7 linked regions of the Coturnix japonica genome follow. Each later gene encodes a partner of the first gene's protein in a complex. Links are inferred from orthologs where the notes say so. Each region holds a gene or a part of one and is shown in the gene's direction. Other genes may lie near its edges.

Region 1 (4,038 bases):
GATCTGCTTTTCAAAGATGCTACTCAGTCCCTTGTTCCTGCAACTCACATGAGCTATCGGGAAATCCTTGGAGAACCTTTCTTTCAGCTGGCAGAGTCAGTGTTTAATTGTACACCTGCAGGTAAAGTCAAATTCTTCATTCTGAATTAGAGAAAAATGCAAAGCAGAGGGAAGTTTTGTGTGCACAGGCACGGCCCTCTGGTTTATGCCAACTTCAGAGGTAATTTCTACATAACCTTGTTAGTGGAGTGTAATATCTGGAGTGTTGAGAACTCTTGCAGCTCCTATCTGTAAGCACTGCAAATGGGGGTCTGTGGGGATGATACAACCAATGCAGGTCAGAGCAAATATAAAGTTATTGAAGTGGAATTGTCTTCCACTCAGAAACTTGTTCTTCCTATCCCAGAGGTCTGGGTATGTCAGGGTTAGGGGAAATAACTCTGTTTCTGATAGAAGACTGCACTAAAAACTACACCAGAGTTAAAGATCTCATTGTACTTAAATGAGAGTTTGTTCACTACTATATACTGAAAGCTATTTTGTATTTAGTTCTGACTAAAACTAAATGAAACTGCTTATCAGTCAGGGCTGAGCTTGTTAGGGGCCCTGGGGATCTGTGCTGAAGTAGCTGCAGCTTGCACAATGGATTAGGAAGTTTAATAGCTGTTAGAGGACTGAAAGTCAACAAGGGAATACCAGCACTGTTGTGTTGTAGTGAACAGCAGCAACTTTCAGGGCCGATCACATCTTTAAGGCCATGTTCTCCTATTGGTTTGCAGGCATCTTGGACTTCTGCAGACAGGACACCTGTGCTCATTGATCTGACAGCTGCTTTGCAAGGCAAGAGCCGCCACCAATGTGAGAACAAGGAAATCAGTCTAGTCCTGCCTGTCTGCAAGGAAACCGTCACCCCCGGCCATGTATGCTGATTATCTTTTATCATAACCTTTGTTTTCTGCAGCAAGTAGATGTTGTTTATGGTCATGTAATACTGCTCCCGTGTCGTGCCGTTCCCGTTTGCAGCAGGGGTCGATCTGTACCATCCCTTCATTGGGGTCGATCTGTACCATCCCTTCATTGGGGTCGATCTGACCCATCCCTTCATTGGGGCGCAGCGCTGCCGTGACCGGCTCCGTTCAGCGCCGAACTCGTTTCTTACGTCGGTGCTGCCTCCGTGTGGCCAAAGCGCGGAACTGCACCGGGACGCATGCGCAGTGCGATGTGCGGGCTGACGCACAGTGCTCTGTGTCGCCTGACGCATGCGCAGAGCGCCCCGCGGCCCGTCGGTGCGGCCATGGCGCTGGTGTCGGCCGACTCGCGGATCGCGGAGCTGCTGTCCGAGCTGCAGCGGCTGCTGGGGCACACGCAGGTGCGGGGCTGGACGCACAGAGCGAGCGGGGCGCTGCTCTGCCGCACCGACACCATCGGGCCGCTCTGGGGGCGGTGCGGGGCTGTAGGGTGCTGGTTCGGGGCGGCGCTTTGTCGCACGGGTCCGGATTTGGGCTGTGGGGCTGGAGGTGGGGTGGTGGTGCGGGCAGCCCCCGTCATCCCGCTGCATTGCAGGAGGAGCGGTCCCGCAGCGAGCACAACCTCATCAACATCCAGAAGACGCACGAGAGGATGCAGACCGAGAATAAGAGTGAGAGCGGGGCCGGGCCGAGGGGCGGCGTGAAGGGGGATGAGGGGGCAGGGCTGGGAGGAGAGCAGGGCAATGGGGAGGGGAAGGGGTTCAGAGAGGAGTGTTGGGCAGGGGCAGCTTTGGGGCCGGGCTCGGGAACGGGGCGGGGTTTGGGGACAGCGTGTTCGATGGGGACTTGGTTTCACAGCGTTCTTACCTCCCCCCTCCAGTCTCGCCGTATTACCGCACGAAGCTGCGCGGGCTGTACACCACCGCCAAGGCAGATGCTGAGGCCGAGTGCAAGTAGGGCGGCCCCTTCATACCCACATCCCCATACCCTACACCCTTACCAACCCTACACCCTTACCAACCCTACACCCTTACCAACCCTACACCCTTACCAACCTTACACCCTTACCAACCTTACACCCCACCAACCCTACAGCCCACCAACCCTACACCCCCACCAACCCTGCACCCCACCAACCCTACACCCTGCCCCGTGCCCCCCATACATGACAGCTGCCCTTATGGCTCTGCAGCATCCTGCGCAAGGCGCTGGACAAGATCGCTGAGATCAAGTCTCTGCTGGAAGAGCGCCGCATTGGTACGTGCCTCCATTGAGCCCCCAAGTGTCCCTGACCCCCACGTGTCCCTGACCTCTCTTTTTCTATTTTTACACCCCAAATCCCTGGAATTACGCCCAAATCTCCCTCTGTATGCCCCCCCCCACAACTGCCCTCCCAATCTTGGTGTCACTGTGTCCACCCCCCCACTGTGTCACAGCTGCCAAGATCGCAGGGATCTACAGTGACGCGGAGCCGCCGCGCAAGACGATGCGTCGTGGCGTGCTGATGACACTGCTGCAGCAGTCAGCCATGACGCTGCCGCTCTGGATCGGCAAGCCAGGTGACAAGTAGGTATTCCCGACCCCACAAGTGCACTCTTCCCCACAGGGTGCCCTAAACTCCCAGACCCACACTCCATCATACCCCACATTGTGCCCTGAGCTCCCAGTTCCACTGGAGTTCTGGTTCTGGACTCAGATTCCAAAGCACGGCCCTAACCCCATGCCTGACATTTGGATCCATAGCAAATCTCAGCCCCACCCTGGGAAACCCAACCCCATCCAGACCCCATCCTGACCGTGCCCTCACCCTTCCTCCCCTCTCCCCCCATCAAACCCCAGGCCCTGTTCCCTGACCCCTGTTGTGGATTGCCAACACCCCCCTGACTGCACTGCAGAACCCCAAACCCCAGCCCAGCCTCACCCTCTAACTCCCACCCACCAACCCACCCCCACCTCATTCTCAGGCCCCCCCCACTGTGCGGTGCCATGCCGGCAGCTGGGGACTACGTGGCCAAGCCTGGGGACAAAGTGGCGGCACGTGTCAAGGCCGTGGACGGCGATGAGCAGTGGATCCTGGCGGAGGTGGTCAGCTACAGCCATGCTGCCAACAAGTGCGTGGAGGGGGCAAGGGGGCGGCAGGTTGGGTGTGGAGGGGAGCAGGAATATGTGTGTGTTGGGGGGGGTTTGAGTGGGGCCGGGGGGGCAGTTTGGGCACTTTGGGGGTGTGGGGCATGGTGTGGAGCACTGCACTTGTTGCTTGTGGGGCCGTGGTGTGCTCTGGGATCGCAGCATTTCCCCTTGTTTTGCTGTAGTTCAGTCCTTTCTCCTTTCTCGCTTCTCCCCACCCCAGGTATGAAGTGGACGACATCGATGAGGAGGGCAAAGAGTGAGCACCCCCACTCCACAACTGCCCTCTCTAACCCCACAGCTGCCCCCGCTCTCAGGCAGCCCCCAGCCTCCTCTCCAAGCCCTCCCAATCCCTCCAACTCCCTCCTTATCACCCCCTAACTCTTCCTAACTCCCTCCAAACCTCCTCAAACCCCACAGAACACCCCAACTCCCCACAGCCCCCCTCCCCATGTCCCCCACGCTCCCAGTTCTCCACAGAACTCTTCTTGCTCTCACCAAATCTTCCCAGATCCCCTCGGCGCACCCCCCCAGACCCCTCTAGCTCCTCCCGAACTCCCTCCCCATACCCGCCACACCACAAAGCCCTTCTCAACCCCTGCCCCCAAACCTGCTCTCCACACCCCTCATCTCCCCCATCCCCAGCCCGTACCCATTGCTTGCTCCTCCCTTCTGCAGGAGACACACGCTCAGCCGGCGCCGTGTGATCCCTCTGCCACAGTGGAAGGCCAACCCTGAGACCGACCCCGAAGCGCTGTTCCAGCGCGAGCAGCTGGTGCTGGCACTTTACCCACAGACCACCTGCTTCTACCGTGCCCTCATCCATGCACCCCCGCAGCGGGTACGGCCACATTTTGCCCTGGAGATGGGCCCTGCCGTGCCCCCAGCTCTCACTCATTACTGATGCTGTTTTCTGCCCCGCACACAGCCGCAGGATGACTAC
Region 2 (4,236 bases), on another chromosome or scaffold:
GGAGCATCCCCGGAGCCTTACGTTCTTGAGGAATTCCTCTGCCACAATGCGGGCCCTGGCATTGACAGACAGCTTCATCTCGCTGATCTCCTTGTCGATCTCCTCCATGAAATGGATCACGAAATCCACGAGCTTGTGCTTGTACATCTGCTCCGTGTGGAAGTTGGTGATGAGGAAGCTGATGTCGTAGCCCTGAGGAAGAGAGGAGCAGTGTAAGAGCTATGGGTGTGCAGCACAGTGGGAGTGCAGCACAGTGATGGTGCAGTCCAGATCTGCGCTGTGGGTCCCTGGGACTCCCTCACCTCTACGGGCTTCCTGCGTAGGATGAAGAAGTTCTCAGCCCTCATCATCATGAAGCGCATGAACTTATGGCACAGGATCTTCTCGATCTCATCGGCCTGCAGACACAAAAGGGAAACGAGGTTCCTCACACTCTCACAAGCTCCCAGCCCCCATCCAGCCCATCCCCACCTGTTTGACAGCGATGCTGACGCGCACGGAGTTGATGGAGCCCTCGATCAGCACCTTCTCCTTCTCGTTCCTGCTGATGATCACGGGCTGCAGCAGCAGCTCCTTGCTGCTCCTGGGGGAGCAAAGGAAGGTCAGCATGGAACCGCTCGGTGCCTGCAGGCACAGTGCGGGCAGTGTCCGTGTGTCCGTGTGTCTATCCCCATTGACACACAGTGCGGGCAGTGTCCGTGTCCATCCCCATTGACACACATTACAGCCCCGTACCTGACCTCCACCTCGGGCTTGTTGTGCCGTTCCACCACCTGCGACGAGAAGTTCTCGAGGCACAGCGCGGCCTGCAGCGTGGCGCGCACCGCGTTCAGGTACGGGCGGAGCGTGGCGGTCTGAGGGGCACGGCACAGTCACGGACCGGGACCGGGCCCACCCCAGCCCCGTCCCCCCCTATCCCCGTACCCACATCCACCCCCATCCCCCGCCCCGTTCTCCCGCCCCGTTCCCTCCCGCTCCCACCATGGTGTCGGCTCCGGTCCGGTCCGTGGAAGCGGAACCGGAAGTGGCCGGCTGTCTCTTCCTGGATGCTCGGGAGGGCCCAACCCGCAGCTGTGTGGGGGCGCTCTGTTCTCTCTCCGTTCCCGTTCCGTTCCCCGTTCCGTCCCGTCCCCCCACACCGTGTATATGTATATATGTGTATATATGTGTATCTGTGTGTATATCCGGCCGGTCACGGGGCGCGGCTGCAGCGCCTGGAGGCGGCGGCGAAACCCCGCGAGATTCGACCCCCCCCGCGATCCCGCCGCTCTTGGTACGCTCCGTACGGCGCTTCCATATTAGGAAAGGAAGAAGGAGAGACGAGCGAACCAATCGGCTGCGTGCACCGGGCGGGGCCGAGCCAATGGGGAGAGAGGGGCGGGGCGAAGCGGCGGGGGCCGGAAGTAGCCGAGCGGCCCAATGTAAACCCGGCCCCCCCCGGCCCTGCCCCCTGCCCGCCCCCCGCCGGGACCCGCCGAGCTCCGGGCGGCACCGAGAGACCGGACAACAGGCTTCTATCGCCGCCCGGTTCCGACCCGGTGCCGCCATGAGCGAGCTGAAGGACTGCCCGCTGCAGTTCCACGACTTCAAGTCTGTGGACCACGTGAAGGTGTGCCCGCGGTACACGGCCGTGCTGGCCCGGTCCGAGGACGATGGTATCGGGATCGAGGAGCTGGACACGCTGCAGCTCGAGCTGGAGACGCTGCTGTCCTCAGCCAGCCGCAGACTGCGGGTACTGGAGGCAGAGACACAGGTGTGGGATGTGGAACATGGAACGTGTAACGTGTAACGTGTCCGTGTTGTGACCCCCCACCCCATCACCGCCCCACACACGACCCTACACGTTATTCCTCTATTCCAGATCCTGACGGACTGGCAGGACAAAAAGGGCGACCGGCGCTTCCTGAAGCTGAGCAAGGAACACGACGTGGGCACCTCCGTCAAACACGGCAAGCCCAAGAAGCAGAAGCTGGAGGGTAAAGGGGGGCACGGGACGGGGCCTGGGCCCGGCAGGCCTAAGTCTAAAAACCTGCAGCCCAAGATCCAGGAGTACGAGTTCCAGGATGACCCCATCGATGTGCCGAGGATCCCTAAAAACGATGCTCCGAACAGGTGAATGGGGAGATGGGGGTGTTGGGGTTGGATGTTTCCTTCCTTGTAGTGCAGGAGATCACGAGCTGCTCTCAAAGTGTCCATCACAGCTCCCCATCACCATCATTCCTCTGCTCTGGCCTCGCAGGTTCTGGGCATCAGTGGAGCCGTACTGCGCCGATCTCACCAATGAGGAGGTCAGGGTCCTGGAGGAGCTGCTCAAACCGCCAGAGGACGAGGCTGAGCACTACAAGGTGACAAGCTGCAGAGCCCCCAGCCCATGCTCTCTCACCCCATACTCTGCCCTGCACTGTCCATCCCTGGGCAGGCTAAGAACTCACACCCCACTGTGAACATTGTGCGTGTCCTCTGGGGTGGTGCTGACCCACGGGCTCCTCAGCACAACCCCAGCCCTGTGCTGATGGCCCATCCTGTGCTGCAGATCCCACCGCTGGGGAAGCACTACTCACAGCGCTGGGCTCAGGAGGACCTGCTGGAGGAGCAGAAGGATGGAGCCCGGGCAGCGGCTGCGGCTGACAAAAAGAAGGGTGTTCTGGGACCACTGACCGAGCTGGACACCAAAGGTGCTGTCCCATCCCCTATCTGTGATGGACTGCACTGAAGCTGTGTGGTGAGACCAGGGGGCTGGCATCCAGCTCCCACAGAACCGGGGCTGCTCACAACTGTCTCCTGCATCCCCTCAGATGTCGACGCCTTGCTGAAGAAGTCAGAGGCCCAGCACGAGCAGCCTGAGGATGGATGTCCCTTTGGACCCCTGACACAGCGTCTCCTGCAGGCCCTGGTGGAGGTGAGGGAGCTCAGGTCTGTGCAGTGGCCCTGCGAGGTGCTGCCAGGGCGAGGTGAACCTTTCCCATGTGCTCTGCTTGCCAGGAAAACATCATCTCCCCTGTGGAAGACTCGCCCATCCCCGACATCGCTGGCAAGGACTCAGGAGCCGATGGCGCTGGCACTTCTCCACGCAGCCAGAACAAGCCCTTCAGGTGAGCTGCTGCAGTGCTGCCTGCTGCTTTCCCTGTGCAAATCGGGGCAGAACGCTTAGGAAGCATCCGCTTTACTCTTCACAGCGTGCCCCACACCAAGTCGCTGGAGGGGCGGATCAAGGAGGAGCTGGTGGCTCAGGGCCTGCTGGAGTCTGAGGACCGTCCCGCCGAGGACTCGGAGGATGAGGTCCTGGCTGAGCTGCGCAAGAGGCAGGCGGAGCTGAAGGCGCTCAGCGCCCACAACCGCGCCAAGAAGCACGAGCTGCTGCGGTGAGTGCGGGCAGGGCATGGGGCCGGCTGAGCACCAGCAGCATCCACTGATGTTCTGTGTCCCCAGGTTGGCCAAGGAGGAGCTGCACCGGCAGGAGCTGCGGCAGCGCGTCCGCATGGCCGACAACGAGGTGATGGACGCCTTCCGTAAGATCATGGCGGCCAGGCAGAAGAAGCGCACCCCCACCAAGAAGGAGAAGGACCAGGCGTGGAAGACGCTGAAGGAGCGTGAGAGCATCCTCAAGCTGCTGGATGGGTAGCGGGGGGACAGGACTGGGCTGCACAACGCTGCCATCATCCCTTTATTTCACGGACTGGAGGCGCTGTGAGCACAGGAGCTTCCCGGCTGTACCTGTGCTCTGCCTGGATCGCTGCGGGTCGGGACGGGGTGCACGGGGCTGGGTCCTGCTCCTGGCCCAACCCGCAGCCACCGAACCGCAGGGACTGGGCGAGAGCATCCCTGGAGCAGCCATAGCCGCCCTCTGGTTTCCGCTGCCGCGGTTATTCTGGGCAATGGAGCTGTGCCAGGACACGGCTGGGAGCCGGGCCGGGCCTCGTTAGCGCCGGGAACAGCCGGGGACAGCGGCGGGGAGCGGGACGGGGCTGTACCGTGTGTTGTGCGGTGAGGGCAATAAAGGAGCATTGGCACTGCCGGTGTGCCGTGCGGTGCTGGGGGCTGCGGGGTTGTGCTGGTGTCGGTACCGTCCCATGTCTCCATTCCCGCCCCTCGCTCTGTCCCCGTCATTCTCTGCCCCTCCGCGGCCCGCGGTCACGCGTGGGCACTGACCGCCCGCTGCCCCCATTGGCTGAGCGGGGGGCAGGTCCCGCCCCCCCGCCGTGACGTCATTGCTGCCCGGCGGCGCCGCGCCAGGAG
Region 3 (3,107 bases), on another chromosome or scaffold:
ATCTGCTTCCGCATGTTCCCCTCCCAGGGCTTCACCGAGATCGTTTTCTGCGCCGTGACATCCAACGAGCAAGTGAAGGTGAGGCCGTGACCCCCCTGGGGGGTCCTTACAAGCTGCCTTGGGGGTGTGAGGGCCCTGTCTCATGGCAGCCCCCCCAGGGCTACGGGACACACCTGATGAACCATTTGAAGGAGTACCACATCAAACACAACATTCTCAACTTTCTCACGTACGCAGATGAATATGCTATTGGCTACTTCAAGAAGCAGGTGGGTTCCTTTCCCTGCTGCTCCCCCCACCAGCCCAACCCGACCCTCTGTCCCTGAGCTCCCTCCCACCTCTCATCCCCTCCCAGGGCTTCTCCAAGGACATCAAGGTCCCCAAAAGCCGCTACCTGGGCTACATCAAGGACTATGAGGGGGCAACCTTGATGGAGTGCGAGCTGAACCCCCGCATCCCCTATACCGAGCTCTCCCACATCATCAAGAAGCAGAAGGAGGTACCTCTGACCCCCCTAGAAGGGAGGGGATGGGGAGTGCCAGCCTTTGGGAACCATCCCTCACTCAGCCGTGCAGCCATGCACACAGGATCACTGCAATGCCATCTGAGGGTGGGGAGGGCTGCTCCTGGCTGTTGCTCCGGGTCTGTCAGGGCCTCATGTCCTGCAGTGCATGCTGATGTGCCACTCTCTCATTGCAGATCATCAAGAAGCTGATTGAGAGGAAGCAAGCACAGATCCGCAAGGTCTACCCTGGCCTGACCTGCTTCAAGGAGGGCGTGCGGCAGATCCCCATTGAGAGTGTCCCCGGCATCCGTGAGCTCTCTGTGCTGCCTGGGGGTTGGGGGTGACCCCTCGGTGAGGTGCAGTGCCCTACATGTGTGGGGGCAGAGCCCTCTGGTGATGCTGACCATTTCCTTCCAGGAGAAACGGGTTGGAAACCACTGGGGAAGGAGAAGGGGTGAGTGAAGGGTCCCAGGGTGCACTGGAGCTGTGGGCTCCTGCTCTGTGCCACGCCTGGCCCTGCAGAGGTAGCCTTGTATTGGGGTGCTCGATCCTCGTGCTGATGGGCTCTGCTCTGCCCTGCAGGAAGGAGCTGAAGGACCCGGACCAGCTCTACAACACCCTGAAGAACCTCCTGGCCCAGATCAAGGTGCAGGGCGGGCGTACGCTCCTGTGCCATCCCCCATGCTGTCCCTGGGAGGGGAGGCACAGGGCAGGGGATGATGCAGTAAATCTGCTCCTCTCCCACAGACCCATCCCAGTGCGTGGCCCTTCATGGAGCCAGTGAAGAAGTCAGAGGCACCGGACTACTACGAAATCATCCGCTTCCCTATTGGTGGGTACCTGGGGGTTGATGGGGGTTGCAGCGTGCCCTGCTGCAGTGCTGGGCAGAGGGTGTCCCAGGGGGCAGCCAGGCAGCAGAACGGGACCCATCAGGGTCCCCCCTGGCTGTGGCTGGTGGTGGGAGGGGGCACAGTTGTGTGATGGGACCCAACTCCTTCCCACCCCCAGACCTGAAGACCATGACTGAGCGCCTGAAGAACCGCTACTACGTCACCAAGAAGCTGTTCATCGCCGACCTGCAGCGCATCATCACCAACTGCCGCGAGTACAACCCGCCCGACAGCGACTACTGCAAGTGTGCCAACACCCTGGAGAAGTTCTTCTACTTCAAGCTGAAGGAAGGGGGGCTCATTGACAAGTAGGGGGTGGTCTGGATGTGCCATGGCTGCCACGACCCCCCCTGCTCCCGCTGGCAGGGAGGGGCAGGGCTGCTGCTGTTCCCGGAGGGGCCATCCAGGGATGTGGCCCTGTTCTGTGGGCAGGGGCTGCTGCTGGGTTTGCTGCTGCTGGGGGGGTGGGGGCTGGGCAGCTGCGGTGCTGCCAGTCCCTCTCTTGGGGGTTGTGGAAGTGGGGACTGGAGCAGGGCTGCCTCTCCCCCCAGGGTTGTGCCTTCTGCCCCCGCTCGGTGCCAGGGCAGGGGCACACAAGTGCTTTGGTGTTCTGCACGGACCTCAGCCCCTGCTCCCATCCATGCACAGGCAGCGCCTGCCCCTCTTCTTGAATGTACTGTGGGGCACCTCCCTGCCCCCCCAGGCTGCAGGGCAGAGGTGCTGAGTTGGGGGGTTCCCCTCTTCCTGCTGCCTCTGTCAGCTCTTCCCTCCTGCAGGAGCACAGCCGCCTGCTCTCCCCCCACTGCTTGTAGCCCTGCAAGGAGTGGTGGGGGCTCTTCCAACTCCTTGCTGTGGGTGGGGGCCTAACCCCCCTTTCCCTTGCTGTCTTGCAGCCCCGGGGTTGGGGCTGGCTGTTGTGTGCATCCCTCCTTGTGCCCGTGTGTCCCTGTACCTCCCTGGGAGCTGTGCTGGGGTGCGTCCCACGTAGCATTAATGTGTCCCCCTCCCCTGTCCCGCATTTGATCGCCTGCTGCCTTACCCCCTGTGCTGTCCTTGCTGTGTGAACTCTGGTGCTGCTCTGCAGGCTCACCGGCCTTGCTGGGGTGGGAGCAGACCGTCCCACTGTTCGCGTCCGCCCATTCCATGTGACTGTTTTGTTTGGATTAGTTTTCTTTATTTTTTTTATTTTTTAATTAAATGTACTTGTGCAGAGCCGGCTGTCCCTGCGCCTGACCCTGCAGCGGGACCTTGGGGGTTGGGGGCAGTGGGTCAGAGGACGGGCGGTGGTTGGGGTGCACGGGTCCGATATGGGGCGCGTGTCCGCCCTCGGAGCGCGATGACGCCGCGGATCTCCGCCCGCTTTCGGTTTCAATTCAGGTCCGAGGCTCCCGGCGGGGGGTGGCCCGGGGGTTGCGGTTCGGTGCGGCTCTGACGGGGCTTTTCCAGCGCAGCTCGGCACTGCGGGCGGCCCCGCTTTCCTCTCCATCCATCCCTCCCTCCCTCCTGTGCTCCGTTTCCCAGCCGGGACGCGGCGATGGAGCTCCGCGGGTACCAGATCGAGGCGGTGGCCCCGGCCCTGCGCGGCCGCAACAGCATCGTGTGGCTGCCCACGGGCGCCGGCAAAACACGCGCGGCCGTGCACGTCTGCAGGCGGCACCTGGAGGGGCGGCGGGGCGGCCGGGTGGCCGTGCTGGTCAACAAGGTGCCCGGGG
Region 4 (3,500 bases), on another chromosome or scaffold:
AAGATGACAGGCATCTCAGTTTCTGTTTTCTTGCCTGTTTCCATTGTGGAGATTGTGAAATTGTGTGCCGACCACAATGGGCTGTGTATGGAGGGTTGCATTTTTCATGTGTAAATACATGCTCGCATTGCCCTTTTTACTGCCTTATTTGTCTGTTGGAGCAGGTATGCAAACCCTGTGTTTGCCTGCCAATATGTCAACACACAAAATTAATGCACTCTGCAGATTCTAATTTGAGGCCATGGTTTTCCCAGGGAGTCTGTTCCCATGAATGAGTTGAAATTAAATCTCTGGATTTCCACCAAGGCAATCTTTATCCTTAGTTGGGATTAATCCATTGCTCATATATCAGAGAAAAATCAAGTTGCCCTGTGATGTGAATGTATTTAATCTTTTGTGGGTACTCTGAAATCCTGGCTGTGTTTAATAGCTTTTTGCTCTTTACTTGGGGTTGGCCTCTTGCCAGTCCAATTCTGTTTCAGAATAAAGAACCTTATATGCAAGTAGACTTATAGAAATTACCCTGAAATACCTAGAAATGAAGGCAGCGTACCAGTTAGAACTCGTGTGGTTGAGTGGCACATCATCCAGTACTTCTTTGTTGCAGGTTGTTGGTGTTCCAGTTGGTTCTGCTTTGCAGTCAACAGTGAAGCAGGCAGTGGCTATCAGCGGTGGCCAGATACTTGTGGCAAAGTCTGGTTCTTCAGTGGCAAAGGCTGTTGGTCCAAAACAGGTTGTGACTCAAGGTGTAGCCAAAGCCATCGTGAGTGGAGGTGGAGGAACAATTGTAGCTCAGCCTGTGCAGACTATAACAAAGGCGCAAGTTACTTCCACGGGTGCTCAGAAAAGTACATCACAAGGATCAGGTAGAGTAATTTTACACCTTGTTAATGGCTCACTGTGGTTCTGTAATGATTCCTTCACCTCTAAAACAATTATGTGATGGAAAAACCTAATCCAGCAGCTGGCTTGAGTTGTGCATGTTAGCTCAGACTCTGGACTGTTTGAAATGTGCTTTGTGGCCTGTAAACTTAAGCCTGCAGATTCCACCACTGTATTTCTTTGGCCTGTGACCATGCAGGGGTTTCATTTATTCTTTTTTTTCCCAGACCTATTCAAAGTGTCTGTGCATCACTGGTGGATTTTATCTGCTGTTAGAATAGCTAAACATTGAAGGTTAGATATGTGGAACTTCCAGTGCTTTCATTCTGTGCAGATTTCAATGCGTGCTGGCCTCTTCAAGGAGTAATTTTGTTTTATTCCTTCTTTCTAGTGATGGCTACACTGCAGTTACCAGCCACCAACTTGGCAAACTTGGCTAACTTACCACCGGGCACCAAACTGTACCTCACCACCAACAGCAAGAATCCTTCCGGCAAAGGAAAACTTCTTCTCATACCCCAGGGAGCCATTCTGCGAGCCACAAATAATGCTAGTTAGTCTTGCAGGGAAATCTAATGAGTTAAATAATGTAATCACTGCATAATTAATGTTTGCTGTTCTTGCTATACTGCATCCTGGTACTGTGAAAGTCAGTAACAGAAGGAAGTTTCTTTGTTCACAGAAACACAGTATGTGGAGATTTATAAGTCTGGGTTGTCAGAAGTACCTTCTGTTTTAGATGGTATTGCTTTGCATGTGGAACTCCCAGTATCTTTCTGTGCTGAAGGTAGTGCAGTTTTTCTCAGAGCTCACAGTGAAGCCTTTCTCTCTATTTTGGTATACAGGGAGAGACACCTGCATTCTTATAATGCAGAACTGTTGCTGATTTCAAAGCTATTAGTAAGTAACAGAATGAGACTCTGGGAAACTAGCTCTGAGAGGGACAAGATAACTATACCTGGAATAGGAGAAAGAAATAGATTTCAGTAAAAGGTTTGATTTCAAGCTGTTGACACCAGCAGAAATAATTTGTTTAGATGTAACAATATAATAGATAGAATAGAGTTTTGAATAAAACTTGCTTTCACAAGTTTCATGCTTGCAGGTATTGTGAAATACCTGGAGAACAGCATTGCTAAAATTGTCCTGAGGGCTGATACTTCTTTTTTTATAGTGTGCTGTTGCTATAGGAAATGTTTTGTGAGCCTTCTCTGGAACGCTTCTCTTTGAGGCTGAGGTAGATGGACTGGGTGCAAAGTATTTGCTTGCAAGTTCTGATGCTGGCAGTGGGGGAGAGATAATCAGTTTATTGTGTAAGAAGGTGAACACCAGCAGTATAGCAGCAGAGTGTCACTGAATACTTGGATACTGTTGATGATGGTATTCCGGGCTGTAGAACTTGTGATGGGAGATTAAGATTTAGATGGCAGTCCAATCTTGACAAGTAAATGCTCTCTTGAGGCTTGAGGAAGAGTAAATAGTTGTGATTTATGACAGAGCCATCAGTAGTTTTCAACCTTTGTTTCCTAGTGGGAGACTACAACATGTTTGTGTCCATTCTCTTCCTTCTGGAGGCAGAGCAGTATCAAGATGTTGATGTTATTCACCACCAGTTAGAGTCTGTGATCAAATACTCTGTGTTAACAAAACTGCATTGGAACAGCAAGCAAAAGTAAAATTAACAAGCCCGTGGGATTTGTTGTGTTTCCAGGGCTTTTGCCTGCTGACAAAACACTGTCTATCTGTTGTACAGCATTTTCTTTGATAGAAACTTTACAGCAGCCCTTAATGAGCTTTGTATGTCCAGTAGTCTTCATTCTCCCCATGTCTCTCTTTGTTCATTGCATTTGCTGAGCTTTCAGAGAGCACAGCAACACATCTGAACTGTGTTTTGCTGTGCAATTACGGCTTTTATGCCTGTGAGTACTCAGCTATATAACATGCCTCAGCAAGCATCTTGCAGGCTGTTCTCAGGTACTTGTATGTACAGGACTACTTCAGCAGCTGACATTGTCGGGTTGCAGAAGAGCCAAACCTTCTGTTCTGGTTGCAGGTCTCCAATCTGGTGGTTCTACAAATAGTGGAGGAGGAGGAGGAACCCAAAGTACAAGCAGTAACTTGTCCCAGCACCTCACCTATACATCCTACATCCTGAAGCAGACACCCCAGGTCAGTGGCACAAGCACCCTATCTGGAATGGATGGGCATTTCAGGCTGCTCTCTAGCAAGCAGTGCTGTTTTCTCTGTCAGGCACTTGCTACTGCTACGTGTGCATCTCTGCCCCTCACCTCCCCTTACAGAGTGGTACATGGTTCAGCTACTTGCAGACTGAGAAAGTAGCATGGAATGATTTTTCATGGCAAGCAGTGAGTGGTTTTCAGAGAGTAATAAAGAGCCTGTGGTGGCAGGGGAGCAGGGGTCTCCAAAATAAGAGAGATGATATGACAAAGATAATGTGGAAGACCTGTCTTAAATGGTAGGTTGTGTAGGAGTTGTAGGAAAGCTGTGAAGACAGAAGAATAAAGGAGTTATTTGAGAGAAACAGCAAGGGTGAAAAAGAAGTGACAAAATTGAAGATCACGTGAAGGGATCCATGCATGACAGTGGGTGAATGAAGG
Region 5 (3,500 bases), on another chromosome or scaffold:
AAGAAAGAAATGACAGAACAACACAATGAAATCTAAAAATTAAAAAAGAAATAGAAGAAATTTGATCCTGATCCAGTACCCTCATGTATATGTGTGTCCATATTTGTGGAGGTGACTTAGCCAGGTAAAACTGATAGGTACATGCAAGTGAGTAAAATTATGTACGAGCATGTTTTTATAGTGTGAATGATTTCTGATGCTTTTGTTGTATGAAAAATTCTAATTAGATTAGATTGGTTTTGAAACTGATGATGGTTAGAATATTTTAAATTGTAAATACATAATTAGGGGCCTCACTCTTCTTTTTTTATTATTATTATTTTTTTTTCTTATTATTATTACTATTTATTTAGAAAATAGCTGTGCCAGAACAGATGCTATTTTCACACCCTATCCTGGATTTAAAAGCCATATAAAGGGTAAGCAACTCTTTTCATATCCATTTATTAAGAATGTTAAGTTAGAGCAGTACTGATAAATTTTGGCTTAGATTTTTTTTTTCCAGCATTCTTATAAGTGGATACTTAACAAATTGATTTATGACTCTAACAAATACTTTAAGTCTTCCCTTACCTCTTCAAGTCTTTTTTTATCCCATAATTTCGTCAGTAGGCTATTGGTTATGCACTGAATACCAAATCCTTTGATGAGTAGCCTGTTGTCATTGCCTGAAAGCAAAGATGAAAAACATAAAGCAGGTCAGAGAAGCTGAGCATTTCTTAGCTTTTCTGCTAAGGTAAGGCCGTCAGTCCAGCTAAGAAATCAATTAAATAAAATTATCTTCTATTTTAAATTAATCTCAATGTAGTTATGTTGAATTAGGAAAATAATCCAGGGGCACACTGGAAGTTCCAAGACAGACTTAGGAATCTGATGAACAAAGTTACCACTGCACTATTTTTTGCAAAGGTGTGACTGATGAAGAAGTTACTGTACAGCAGATAGCATGCCTGAAAGGTTGCTTGCTCACAGGATTCTCTGTGATTATAACTGCTGTTTATCTGCAGCTGATGACATGAATGTGGTGTTTTTTTTCCTCTTTCTTTGCAAATGTAGAGTCCTTGTTTTTTATTTAGTTTGATGTATTTAAAAATAAGGACTTTTACACTGAACTTTTGATCTCGGTGTTTGTGAGACCCTTCAAATACAAGATCAGTGAAATAGATTTAACACACAGCTTTTCAGGTTTTAGTAATACTAATTATTTAATGACATTTTGTTTTAATTATACATATATTGATATGTTTCATGTGCATGTGTGTTAAATTTATGTTCTCTTTACTTAGTTTCTAGGGTAGTAAATACATATGGGCCACAGACTAGATCTGAAGGAACACATGGGTCCAATCATAAAGCCAGTGTACCTGTTCATGATTGTGGAAACCAAGCTGTTGAGGAGAGACTGCAGAACATTGAGGCGCACTTACGATTACAAACAGGTTCGTACCACACTTAAGTTTTGACATAGATGTGTCAATTTGTGCTACATTCCTGTAGTAAAATTGGGCAAGCCAGTAAGTTCTGTGACAGTAAAAACAGTAGGCTAGATGCATTAAAGAGTTTTATCACCCAAGTACTGTAGTCTTAATATTTTGGACCATATGCCCGAAATGAAATACAGATTTATTCCCAGATTAGGATGTGGAGTTGATAAATACACATCCTGGTCAGGACAAGGCAGTCATTCTGGTTGGAATACCCAGTGGTTGTGATGTTGTAGAATCCTACCTAGCATACATTAGGTACTTTGCATGGGTGTCTGTGTTTTAAGAGTGACTTTTTTTTTTGCTCCAGGGCCTTTTTCAGTCATATACTCAACTTTGAAGTTGTCTATTGCCTTGGCAGATCGTAGTGGCTTATCAACCAGATTTTACTGTGATTTATATTAATTGCCCTTCCCTTTCATTTTCCCACCAGTTTGTTCACTGTCAGGCGCTGGTTGCTAGCTGGACTCAAAGAATGAAAAACTTGCCATCTTTTAGTTTAAAGTGTTATTTAAGTGATTTTCCTGATTTTTCTCTGTACTGCTGCACTTAGGTGGTCCTGTACCAAGAGACATTTATCAGAGAATTAAGAAGCTTGAAGATAAAATTCTTGAGCTGGAAGGACTGTCTCCTGAATACTTTCAATCCGTAGTAAGAATTTTTTCTCAACTAATGGATACTTAAGTAATTGTTGTTTGATGTATAAAGATGGAATAGGTTACAGTGTAGCTGCTATTGATAGACAACTCTGGCTTGGTGTAACAGTTACATTTCATGTATGGGCCATCTATGCAAGTTCATAGTTCTACCTAACTTGTCATTTGAAAGAAAATAGTACTTGCTGGGGGGGAAAAAACAATGCAGATACCTGAGCTTAACTAATTCTTGAGAGATTTCTTATAAACAGCACACTTTTTTTTTTTTTTTTAATCCCTAAAATATGAAGTGTATATAATGACATGGAAATTAACTGCAGATTTGATCTTCATACAAGTCATTAACGGCTTAGAAATCAGCTGCAGTTCTTTGGTTTTCTGTACATGGTATGATTTCTGAGGGTCAGAGCAACCATTCAGAAGTTGTCTGTTTCAGGTAATTAAATGACTTTGGTTTGTTTACTGCTGGTCTACAGGCAAAATTCTGTCTCTTTATAAATAATAGACTGGATCCTTTATTTACCTGTGGAGATTTGGGCAATAAGAACACTGGTTTATACTACAGTAAAAACTGCAGAAATTTCTCACCTAATATTTTGTTCTGCCTTCTTTCCCTATGCAATAATTAGTCAAAATATTTCTTACAAATTACAATATGATCAACAGTATCTTTTCTCTGGCAACCCACCAAAGAGGAAACAAGATTTAAAGATCGACCTCCATAATACAATTCTTTGTTTTGTTTTTTCTCTATGCTGGAGGCCAATAAAGTTCTTGTTCTTTGAGGCCATTCCTTCAAGTTGTAGGGAGTTGGAATTTAAAAACATGGACTTTCATATGCTGTAATTTCTTTTGAAAGTACTTTAGGATCTATGTCTATGTGGATATGGGAGGAAAGAAAGTGATGGTGGCAAGATTAGTATTGTGGACTAATTGCCTTTTTTTTTTCCCTCTCAGAGATTTGCATAAATATTTGTGTGGATACAGGAAAATCTTAAACAAAAATATTGAGAATTTCAAGAGCAGGATATTGATCTTTGTTTTTACTGAAGGAAGCTCCAGTTAAATTGCTGGTGAACGTGTTAGCTGCCAAGTACAGAGAAGCTTTGACAGCTTCTAACTGCTCTCCAATGATATTTTTCATGATCTAAAGTACACTTAATATAAAAAGATTTCTATAATCTTTGAAATGGCAGCTAGTGTTCTTTCTGTACTTTTAAGACACTTGTCAACATTGTTACAGACTGCAGATTTCAGAATTGCCTGCAGTAACATCCCCAGTCAGTGTAATGTTAAGTCTGTTTTGATTGTCTTTTCTTTAGAGCTGTTCTGGCAAGAGGAGAAAAGTTCAACCACCTCA
Region 6 (2,774 bases), on another chromosome or scaffold:
TGGCAGAGGATTTCATTGTGGGCTGCCTGGACACCTCGCTGAACCTGAGCAGTGCGGTTCCTCTAACACTGTGCAGCTCAGAGCCAAACCTCAGCCCTCAGCCAGCTGTGCTGGTGCACAGGGCACACTCTGGTGTCAGTGAAACGTGGATCTATTTCAGACTTTTTTGACTGGAGATGGCTTCCTGAACTCTGGGGATGGCAACACTGAAAGCCAGCTCAGAGGTTCACTGCAGAACGTGCCACCACGGCTGCATTCTGCACTGTTGTGTGTATGGGCACCTGTTTCCTTCTCAGTGGGAACGAAGTTCTTCTGAATTCTGCCATTTCTTACCAAACAATCGTTAAGCATTTCCTAATTAAAAGGAGGAGACAGCCCACGTGTCCTCTGGATGCAGTGCTGTGGAGCAGCTGCTGTTGGCAGTGGATGGGAGCACTGCAGGCGCTGCTGGCAGCAGCTCCACGGCACTGCCCAGCACTGCCCAGCATCCAAACCCAGCACACAGCTTCCCTGCACGGTTTCCACCCTAGATTTCCAGGAGGGGTGAATGTGTGCGTAGCTGCTTTTGTAGAATGGCATTAAGGACTTTGTGTGCTGGGGATTAACAGGCGGATGCCCGCCACGGCTGAATTGCTGCTTGCGCGTCTCTTTGGCATGTGAACATCCCTGGGTTGGTAGAGAACAACGCCCACATGGACACGTTCAGAGCCACGCTCCTGTGAGCCCGCAGCTCGCCTTCATCCCCTGCTTTGTTTCTCAGTTTTAATGTTTTCAAATATAGCAGCCATGGGCTCCTCCCTGCCCACCTGCGGCTCCAGGCCCGCACTGCCGTCGCTGCCTGCCCCCCCACCACAAAACACAGCACAGCTGTTCTCAGGAAGGCATCCACAACGTTAGTTCCCCAGCAGTGATCACTGAACGAGAGAGCAGGACAAGTGGTAGCGCTTATTAACTTCCCCTTTGTCTTCCAGCTCTGTCAGATGGTGAGGTTGGTCCCCGGAGCCTATTTAGAATACAAAGCTGCCTTAGTGAACGAGTGCAACAAACAAGGAGGGCTGCGACTTGCGCAGGCGAGAGCGCTCATCAAGATCGATGTGAACAAAACAAGGAAAATCTATGACTTCCTTATCAGGGAAGGGTACATCACAAAGGCCTGAGGAGTGACACGGCGCTCTGCTTCGAGCACACGGGCATGGAAAAGCTCTGAAGACATTTTGACAGCACTGGGAGATTTTAACAGTGTTCAATGAAGGACATTTTCTATTGTTTCAGATCTTTTGGGCCTCTTTTTTTTTGGTACAAACAAGCAGGAGGCTTTGTCAGATGGTACGAACGCCGACATTTCTTTGTCTGGTCTCTTTTTGACTATGCTGCTTAATTGTGCTGTTGTCTGAATCACACCACGTAGCACTGCAAAGAATCCTGTGTCATCGAAGCCAACCTGTAAGATGAATGGCTGTTCCTTTCCCACATCTCGTGTGTAAAAGAATCGCAGCACTTTTATTCTGGCAGTGCAGAGAACAAGGACAGGAGGGCAGCACATGAGAGTCACACTGACTCAGCCTGAGCGCAGGTACAGAAATGCAGTGCCCTCCCTCCTCGTACGCCTTCCTAAAACAGTGCCAGCTTTCAAAGGAGACAGCACATGCCCGAGGGTGCAAAGAAGGAGCTCGCAATAGTCCAGTCCTTTTAAGTAAATTATGATAAAGGATGCAAAAGGACATCGTGGGGAAGCTCCTCCACAGTTGTTACTTTTATGTGATATTGGCACATATCACAGCATGAGAGTGCTGTACGAACCAGTGAGCCTCATCTGCTGCCACTTCATTTGCCATGGTCACATTATGTAGAATCCTTTAGCTGAAGTCTGAATTGGCTGCTGTGGCTCCGTAGGAAGGCCATGCCACCTTTCGTGATGAAAGGCTGTGTGTTACAGCCCCAGCTGCCTTCCAGAACATCAACAAGCAGCCACTCCATTCCCCATCATTCCCTCCCACCAAAGAGAGGAGAGCAGTGCAGCACTGCACACACCAGGCCACGTGCTCTCAGCCCTCCTGGATGGGAGGCCCCGCTATCTCTGCTTCACTCTGTGTGTCCTCAGGTCTGGGTTCTCACGCTGCAAAGCCCAAGCTGTAACTATGTTCATGTATATTTAACATGTTTGGCTTCAGATTTTTGCTTCCCCCCCCCCCCAGAAATGTAATTATCCTGGGTACTGAGGTGCCACTGAATGTGTGGTATTTTGGTCTGTAATAAAATCAATTGGATCTGAAATGATCTTCACTGGGTATTCCTGGGCTCCAAGACAGAGCTGCCTCTGCTCCATCCAGCTCTGTGCTGCCATAAGAGGGGAGGAGCTGCATCCCTCTGGATAACAGGGAGCCAGAAAGCAGCGTTCATTTCCAGGGAAAGTAGGAGAGGTGAGGCAACGGGAAACGGGGCAGGGAAGTTTCCCTCACAGCATCAAAGCAGAAAAACAACAGGTTTTTCTCCTCTTGCAGGGCACCTCGCAAGCAGGGAAGGGAGCAGGCTGCCAGCCTGCACCACGCTCAGCACCTCCTCGTTCCTGCTCTCATTTCCAGGCTCCAGCACAACACTCCCGTACTGCAGGATGAAGGGTTAACAAACCTCTGCCCACACGGGGCACACACAGCACCATGGCACAGCCCACACCGCAGCCTGAGGTCAGGTGAGCAGCAGTCACACCGCGATGGCAGATTTTTGGGTCCAATGCTAATAACACCAGCTGGGACCTGAGCAAACAACAGCAGGAG
Region 7 (4,252 bases), on another chromosome or scaffold:
CAGCCTGAACATTCCCTGTGTGGGGTTCTGGGCCCTGAAATGATTAATGCCAGGCTCACACAGAGGCACTTGGCTCCCAGCTGGGCGAGCTGTGCCCTTCCATGGTGCCAAAGGCGCCGTGCCTTGGCTCACACTCACTCTACATCTGGCCCAACCCTGTTCTTGGCACCTGCCAGCCTTGGCCGTGCTACAAGCACTTAAGCACATCTTAATAACAGTAAACATACAAACGTGAGCAAAACTATTATACTAAATTGAAATGCTATCATTTTCACTAATTTTACCTTTCACTTTAATCACGTTTGTTCAGCAGACAGATGAAGAAGATTACAACAAGGAAGGACTGGCTTTATGCATTCAGTTTTCCTGTTCTACACAGGGGATGTGCCCTGGCCACCTCCTCACAGCGAAGGTCCATCACCAAAGCTGACTATGGCGCAGCACCTCCACGCTCTACTTGGAAATAGATTAACCTGTTTTAGGGGAGTATCCAACCTGAACTTCCCCTGGTGCAACTTGAGGCCATTCCCTCTCATCCCATTGCTATTAGCTGCGATAAGAAGCCAACCCCCACCTCAGCACAGCCTCCATCCAGGCAGGTGTAGGCAGCAATAACATCACCCCTGAGTCTCCTCCAGAATGAACAATCCCAGTTCTCTCTGTAAGCCTTGTGCTTCAGACCCCTCACAGCTTTATTGCCCTTCTCTGGGCACACTCCAGGGCCTCAGTATCTTTCCTGTAGTGAGAGGCCCAGCACTGACCACAAAGCCTCACCAGAGCTGAGTACAGGGGCTCGAACACCGCCCTGCTCCCACTGCTATACCATTACACGGCTCCATTGCCGTTCTCGTCCTTCCTCTGCTCAGGGCTGCGGCTGCTCGACGCGCTCAGCGCTCTGCAGGGCGGGCCGCTCTTCCCCCTCACAGCCTGTCCCGCCTTTCCCCGCGTTGTGCCGTTGGTTGCGGCTCGGTCGGTTCCCGGCCGTGCGGTGTGTGGTGCCCGGCGATGTCCAGGAGCTCCCGGGCGGTGCTGGTTGTCACCGCGCTCCTCTCCGCCGCCACCATCGCGGCCGTGCACGTCCAGCAGCGGCGGGAGCGTGAGGTGAGTGAGGGCGGGCGGGCAGGCCCGGAGCCGTGTGGTGCCCTCTGGTCTGTTGGCTTATTATTAGCGCTGTCAGATGCAAGGTACAGCTTGGGAGTGAAGGGCTTAATGTAAACAGGTCTTCAGCTGGCCTCACAGAGGTGGTTTACTAGCTTTATTAATCAAACAGGCAGTGATGAACCCTGTCCCTTGTGCTTCCAGAGGCTGCACAGCGGTGTGCTCAGAGATCTGGAGAGACAGAGTCAGAAAAGGGAAAACATTCGCCTGCTGGAAGAGCAGATCGCTTTGACGAAGCGGCTTACGGAAGAAAGAGACAAGATGCTGGTGGAAAAGGGATCCCAGCAGCCCTAGGTGGGACCTGACTTGTTAGAGGTTTGATTCGAGGCACTTGGGACAATTGAATTCTAATTACTTTCAAGTATTTCAGTAAACAGACATCACCTGTGAAAGACTGTTTATTTCAGACACATTATATTCCTGTACCAGAAGCCATAGGGCACAGCAGAATATTTCTTCCATCACTAGTACTTGTGGAGACTTGACACAGCCAGTGTGGATGGACGTGTGAATGTAGGGAGGACAGGCTCCTTGTGCTGCTGTAGGCCATGAAGGATGGCTAATAACGTCCACATGAGCGGGCTGCTGAGCCGACACGATGATGAAGCCACGAGGACTTCGACGTCGGAGGGTCTGGAGGAGGGTGAGGTGGAAGGGGAAACCCTTCTGATTGTAGAGTCTGAGGACCAGGCCTCGGTGGATTTATCCCACGACCAGAGCGGAGACTCACTGAACAGCGATGAAGGTGATGTGTCCTGGATGGAGGAGATGTCCTACTACTGCGAGAAGTGCCAGAAGTGGATTCCAGCAAGTAAGAGGGCTGGCTTTGCTGTTTCTTGTTTTCTGATAATGTGAGTTTAGTTGAGCTTTTGCAGAAGCGTGTCCAACCTGTAGCATCTGGCACTGGGGGGTGCTTGGAGTAAGCTAGATAACTTGATTCCTTTGCTGTTGCTGCTTGACATAAGATGTATGGTGCTAGCTAAAAAACAGGCTTTACTTTTGAAATTCTGGACAGCTGGAATTTGGAATGGACACATTATTAGATCCAAAACCTAAGTGTTGCTAAGCACTGCTTTTTGTTGTTGTTTTGTTATCGATTTGCTGTTGTGTTTTTATTTCTGTGTTTAGAATCATGGAACTCTTCAGTTGACATCTGCTTTGCAGCTGCATCGGGGCTGCCCTTATTGCCATCCTAAAACTCGCCACAAGTTTAGTGTAGAAATGTTGCAAGGCATGGTGTGAGCATTGCTAATAATACAGTAGAGCCAGCACAGTACTGTTAAAATGATGCTACATTGCAGCTTTCCTTCACGTGAAAGGGCTGAAAGTTTGATCTTTTGTCTGTTGGTTTTAGGTCAACTGAGAGAACAGCTCAGCTACCTCAAAGGAGATAACTTTTTCAGATTTACTTGCTCTGATTGCTCAGAAGATGGGAAAGAACAATTTGAACGGCTGAGATTAACTTGGCAACAAGTAAGTACCTTGTTTGTGCCAGGAAAACGTGCCAGCACTTTATAGAATTGTTGTTTGTTATGTATTCATTACCTAGAAAAGGAGGATTGGATATAGATGACAAACATGAGTGAACTTCAGAAATTAATTAGTTGAGAATTGCCTGCAGATTAGAGCTTGAGTATTTGGCAAGTAAGTGGCAAGATAATCACACAAACCACATTCCTCTCCTTTTTCGCTCCTCATTCATGTTGCTCATGAATTGCATGGCTTCAGGCGAATGTGGAAAAGCAAAATGCAATGTAGCTTCTAGGCACGAACAGTTTTTTGTATATAGGAGTGAATGCAAAGCTAGCGAGGTGGCAGCACGCAAACAGAAAGCTTGCCAGTTCCCTGAATGCAAAGCTCTAACTTGGCTGCTTGCTTACTAACAGTAGTTGTTGCTGGATTCTGCAAGTCCAGTCACTTACACGCCTGCGCGATCAAAATATTCTGCATTATACGGCAGCCACTGCGTGGGTAGAGTGATGCGTGTGTTGCTCCCAGGAGGGTGCAGGTGCTGCTCCTTTGGGGTACGTTGAATTGAGGGAAGTGAGCAAACCTGTCTGAAGTATGGAATTGATTCTGCATAATTAACAGTTGGTCATCTGGGATTTACTCACAAAGAGATGTGGTTCTTTCCAAACCTTTCCAATAGTTGGTTGGACTGAATTAGGCTGTAAAGCATGTAGAAGTGCTGTAATGGATTTTTTCAATGAAGGTCAATTCTGAGAGCATCATTTGCAGGCCAGTAACGAGTGGTGTCCCCCAGGGGTCTGTCTTGGGGCTGGTGCTCTTCAACATCTTTATCAGGCAGGGTGCTTGGAACTTGGAGATCCTTGGGGTCCCTCGCAGCCCAAGCCATTCTGTGATTTGGAGACAAACGTAATTGCCGCATACCAAGAAATATTAGTAGATGACATGTGATTTCTACATAGTTTAACCTGCGTTCAGTTTGGTACGCAACGGTAACTATCTGGGAAGACTCTGATTGCTATGTTTCTGATGAATAAGGTGGTGGGATTGCTCATCACAATTCTTTTTGTCTTTGAAAAAGACTATTTAGACTTCCACGCTGCATTCAGGTCCCAGTTGCGATATGATCAGTTTTTCCCACTCTGCAGAAGTTTGTGTTTCTTCATAAACCTGCATAATTAGGCAGCTTTTATTCTCCTACGGTGGTCAAATCTTGGTGGGGGGAAAAGACAGAAGAATTTTCATTTAACGATAGAGAGATGAGGAAAGACAGCATGAAAGAGAAAGAGAGATGAGGAAAGACAGCATGAAAGAGAAAGATTGCAGAAATTGCTTAAGAGGTGTTGCAAAAATAAGATATTTATGAGGCTGCAAAGGTGTGTGTGTGCATGGCATCATAAGGCAGCTCACCAGGAGAAGCAGAAAAGGTGCACTGGTTTCCATTGCTTTCTGTTCCAGGTTGTCATGCTGGCAATGTACAATTTGTCTCTGGAAGGAACTGGCCGTCAGGGGTACTTCAGATGGAAAGAAGATATCTGTGCTTTTATTGAGAAACACTGGACTTTCTTATTAGGAAACAGGTAAAGATATGCTGTGTCCTGGTGAGATGAATGAATTAAAACTGGTG

Evidence for each region.
Region 2: SGF29 (region 1) and TADA3 share a complex: the UniProt entries of both Homo sapiens proteins name them as parts of the ADA2A-containing complex. The link is inferred for Coturnix japonica from reciprocal best matches to the Homo sapiens genes SGF29 and TADA3.
Region 3: SGF29 (region 1) and KAT2A share a complex: the UniProt entries of both Homo sapiens proteins name them as parts of the ADA2A-containing complex. The link is inferred for Coturnix japonica from reciprocal best matches to the Homo sapiens genes SGF29 and KAT2A.
Region 4: SGF29 (region 1) and YEATS2 share a complex: the UniProt entries of both Homo sapiens proteins name them as parts of the ADA2A-containing complex. The link is inferred for Coturnix japonica from reciprocal best matches to the Homo sapiens genes SGF29 and YEATS2.
Region 5: SGF29 (region 1) and MBIP share a complex: the UniProt entries of both Homo sapiens proteins name them as parts of the ADA2A-containing complex. The link is inferred for Coturnix japonica from reciprocal best matches to the Homo sapiens genes SGF29 and MBIP.
Region 6: SGF29 (region 1) and TADA2A share a complex: the UniProt entries of both Homo sapiens proteins name them as parts of the ADA2A-containing complex. The link is inferred for Coturnix japonica from reciprocal best matches to the Homo sapiens genes SGF29 and TADA2A.
Region 7: SGF29 (region 1) and KAT14 share a complex: the UniProt entries of both Homo sapiens proteins name them as parts of the ADA2A-containing complex. The link is inferred for Coturnix japonica from reciprocal best matches to the Homo sapiens genes SGF29 and KAT14.

The regions. Positions count from the first base shown.
Region 1 is NC_029530.1:7,882,920-7,886,957, reverse strand, and holds the start of SGF29 (SAGA-associated factor 29), read left to right. Parts: upstream 1-1,238; 5' UTR 1,239-1,294; coding exon 1,295-1,369; intron 1,370-1,563; coding exon 1,564-1,639; intron 1,640-1,848; coding exon 1,849-1,921; intron 1,922-2,160; coding exon 2,161-2,225; intron 2,226-2,404; coding exon 2,405-2,534; intron 2,535-2,932; coding exon 2,933-3,079; intron 3,080-3,318; coding exon 3,319-3,354; intron 3,355-3,773; coding exon 3,774-3,936; intron 3,937-4,023; coding exon 4,024-4,038. Other genes in the region: melanotransferrin-like, read left to right, coding at 1-121, 780-820. UniProt on the Homo sapiens protein: Chromatin reader component of some histone acetyltransferase (HAT) SAGA-type complexes like the TFTC-HAT, ATAC or STAGA complexes.
Region 2 is NC_029527.1:9,002,121-9,006,356, reverse strand, and holds TADA3 (transcriptional adapter 3), read left to right. Parts: upstream 1-1,436; 5' UTR 1,437-1,546; coding exon 1,547-1,753; intron 1,754-1,861; coding exon 1,862-2,112; intron 2,113-2,239; coding exon 2,240-2,345; intron 2,346-2,533; coding exon 2,534-2,675; intron 2,676-2,795; coding exon 2,796-2,899; intron 2,900-2,982; coding exon 2,983-3,092; intron 3,093-3,176; coding exon 3,177-3,362; intron 3,363-3,429; coding exon 3,430-3,622; 3' UTR 3,623-4,041; downstream 4,042-4,236. Other genes in the region: ARPC4 (actin-related protein 2/3 complex subunit 4), read right to left, coding at 22-192, 303-398, 472-583, 736-854, 982-984. UniProt on the Homo sapiens protein: Functions as a component of the PCAF complex. The PCAF complex is capable of efficiently acetylating histones in a nucleosomal context. The PCAF complex could be considered as the human version of the yeast SAGA complex.
Region 3 is NC_029542.1:4,442,098-4,445,204, reverse strand, and holds the end of KAT2A (histone acetyltransferase KAT2A), read left to right. Parts: coding exon 1-78; intron 79-158; coding exon 159-269; intron 270-355; coding exon 356-499; intron 500-699; coding exon 700-814; intron 815-922; coding exon 923-959; intron 960-1,087; coding exon 1,088-1,151; intron 1,152-1,252; coding exon 1,253-1,337; intron 1,338-1,513; coding exon 1,514-1,707; 3' UTR 1,708-2,607; downstream 2,608-3,107. Other genes in the region: probable ATP-dependent RNA helicase DHX58, read left to right, coding at 2,930-3,097. UniProt on the Homo sapiens protein: Protein lysine acyltransferase that can act as a acetyltransferase, glutaryltransferase, succinyltransferase or malonyltransferase, depending on the context.
Region 4 is NC_029524.1:683,461-686,960, reverse strand, and holds part of YEATS2 (YEATS domain-containing protein 2), read left to right. Parts: intron 1-607; coding exon 608-866; intron 867-1,273; coding exon 1,274-1,435; intron 1,436-2,935; coding exon 2,936-3,051; intron 3,052-3,500. UniProt on the Homo sapiens protein: Chromatin reader component of the ATAC complex, a complex with histone acetyltransferase activity on histones H3 and H4. YEATS2 specifically recognizes and binds histone H3 crotonylated at 'Lys-27' (H3K27cr).
Region 5 is NC_029520.1:33,096,286-33,099,785, reverse strand, and holds part of MBIP (MAP3K12-binding inhibitory protein 1), read left to right. Parts: intron 1-353; coding exon 354-419; intron 420-1,286; coding exon 1,287-1,439; intron 1,440-2,037; coding exon 2,038-2,135; intron 2,136-3,462; coding exon 3,463-3,500. UniProt on the Homo sapiens protein: Inhibits the MAP3K12 activity to induce the activation of the JNK/SAPK pathway. Component of the ATAC complex, a complex with histone acetyltransferase activity on histones H3 and H4.
Region 6 is NC_029534.1:7,318,326-7,321,099, forward strand, and holds the end of TADA2A (transcriptional adapter 2-alpha), read left to right. Parts: intron 1-971; coding exon 972-1,157; 3' UTR 1,158-2,274; downstream 2,275-2,774. UniProt on the Homo sapiens protein: Component of the ATAC complex, a complex with histone acetyltransferase activity on histones H3 and H4. Required for the function of some acidic activation domains, which activate transcription from a distant site. Binds double-stranded DNA.
Region 7 is NC_029518.1:13,436,109-13,440,360, reverse strand, and holds the start of KAT14 (cysteine-rich protein 2-binding protein), read left to right. Parts: upstream 1-1,452; 5' UTR 1,453-1,713; coding exon 1,714-1,969; intron 1,970-2,512; coding exon 2,513-2,631; intron 2,632-4,083; coding exon 4,084-4,205; intron 4,206-4,252. Other genes in the region: protein PET117 homolog, mitochondrial, read left to right, coding at 1,006-1,101, 1,303-1,452. UniProt on the Homo sapiens protein: Component of the ATAC complex, a complex with histone acetyltransferase activity on histones H3 and H4. May function as a scaffold for the ATAC complex to promote ATAC complex stability. Has also weak histone acetyltransferase activity toward histone H4.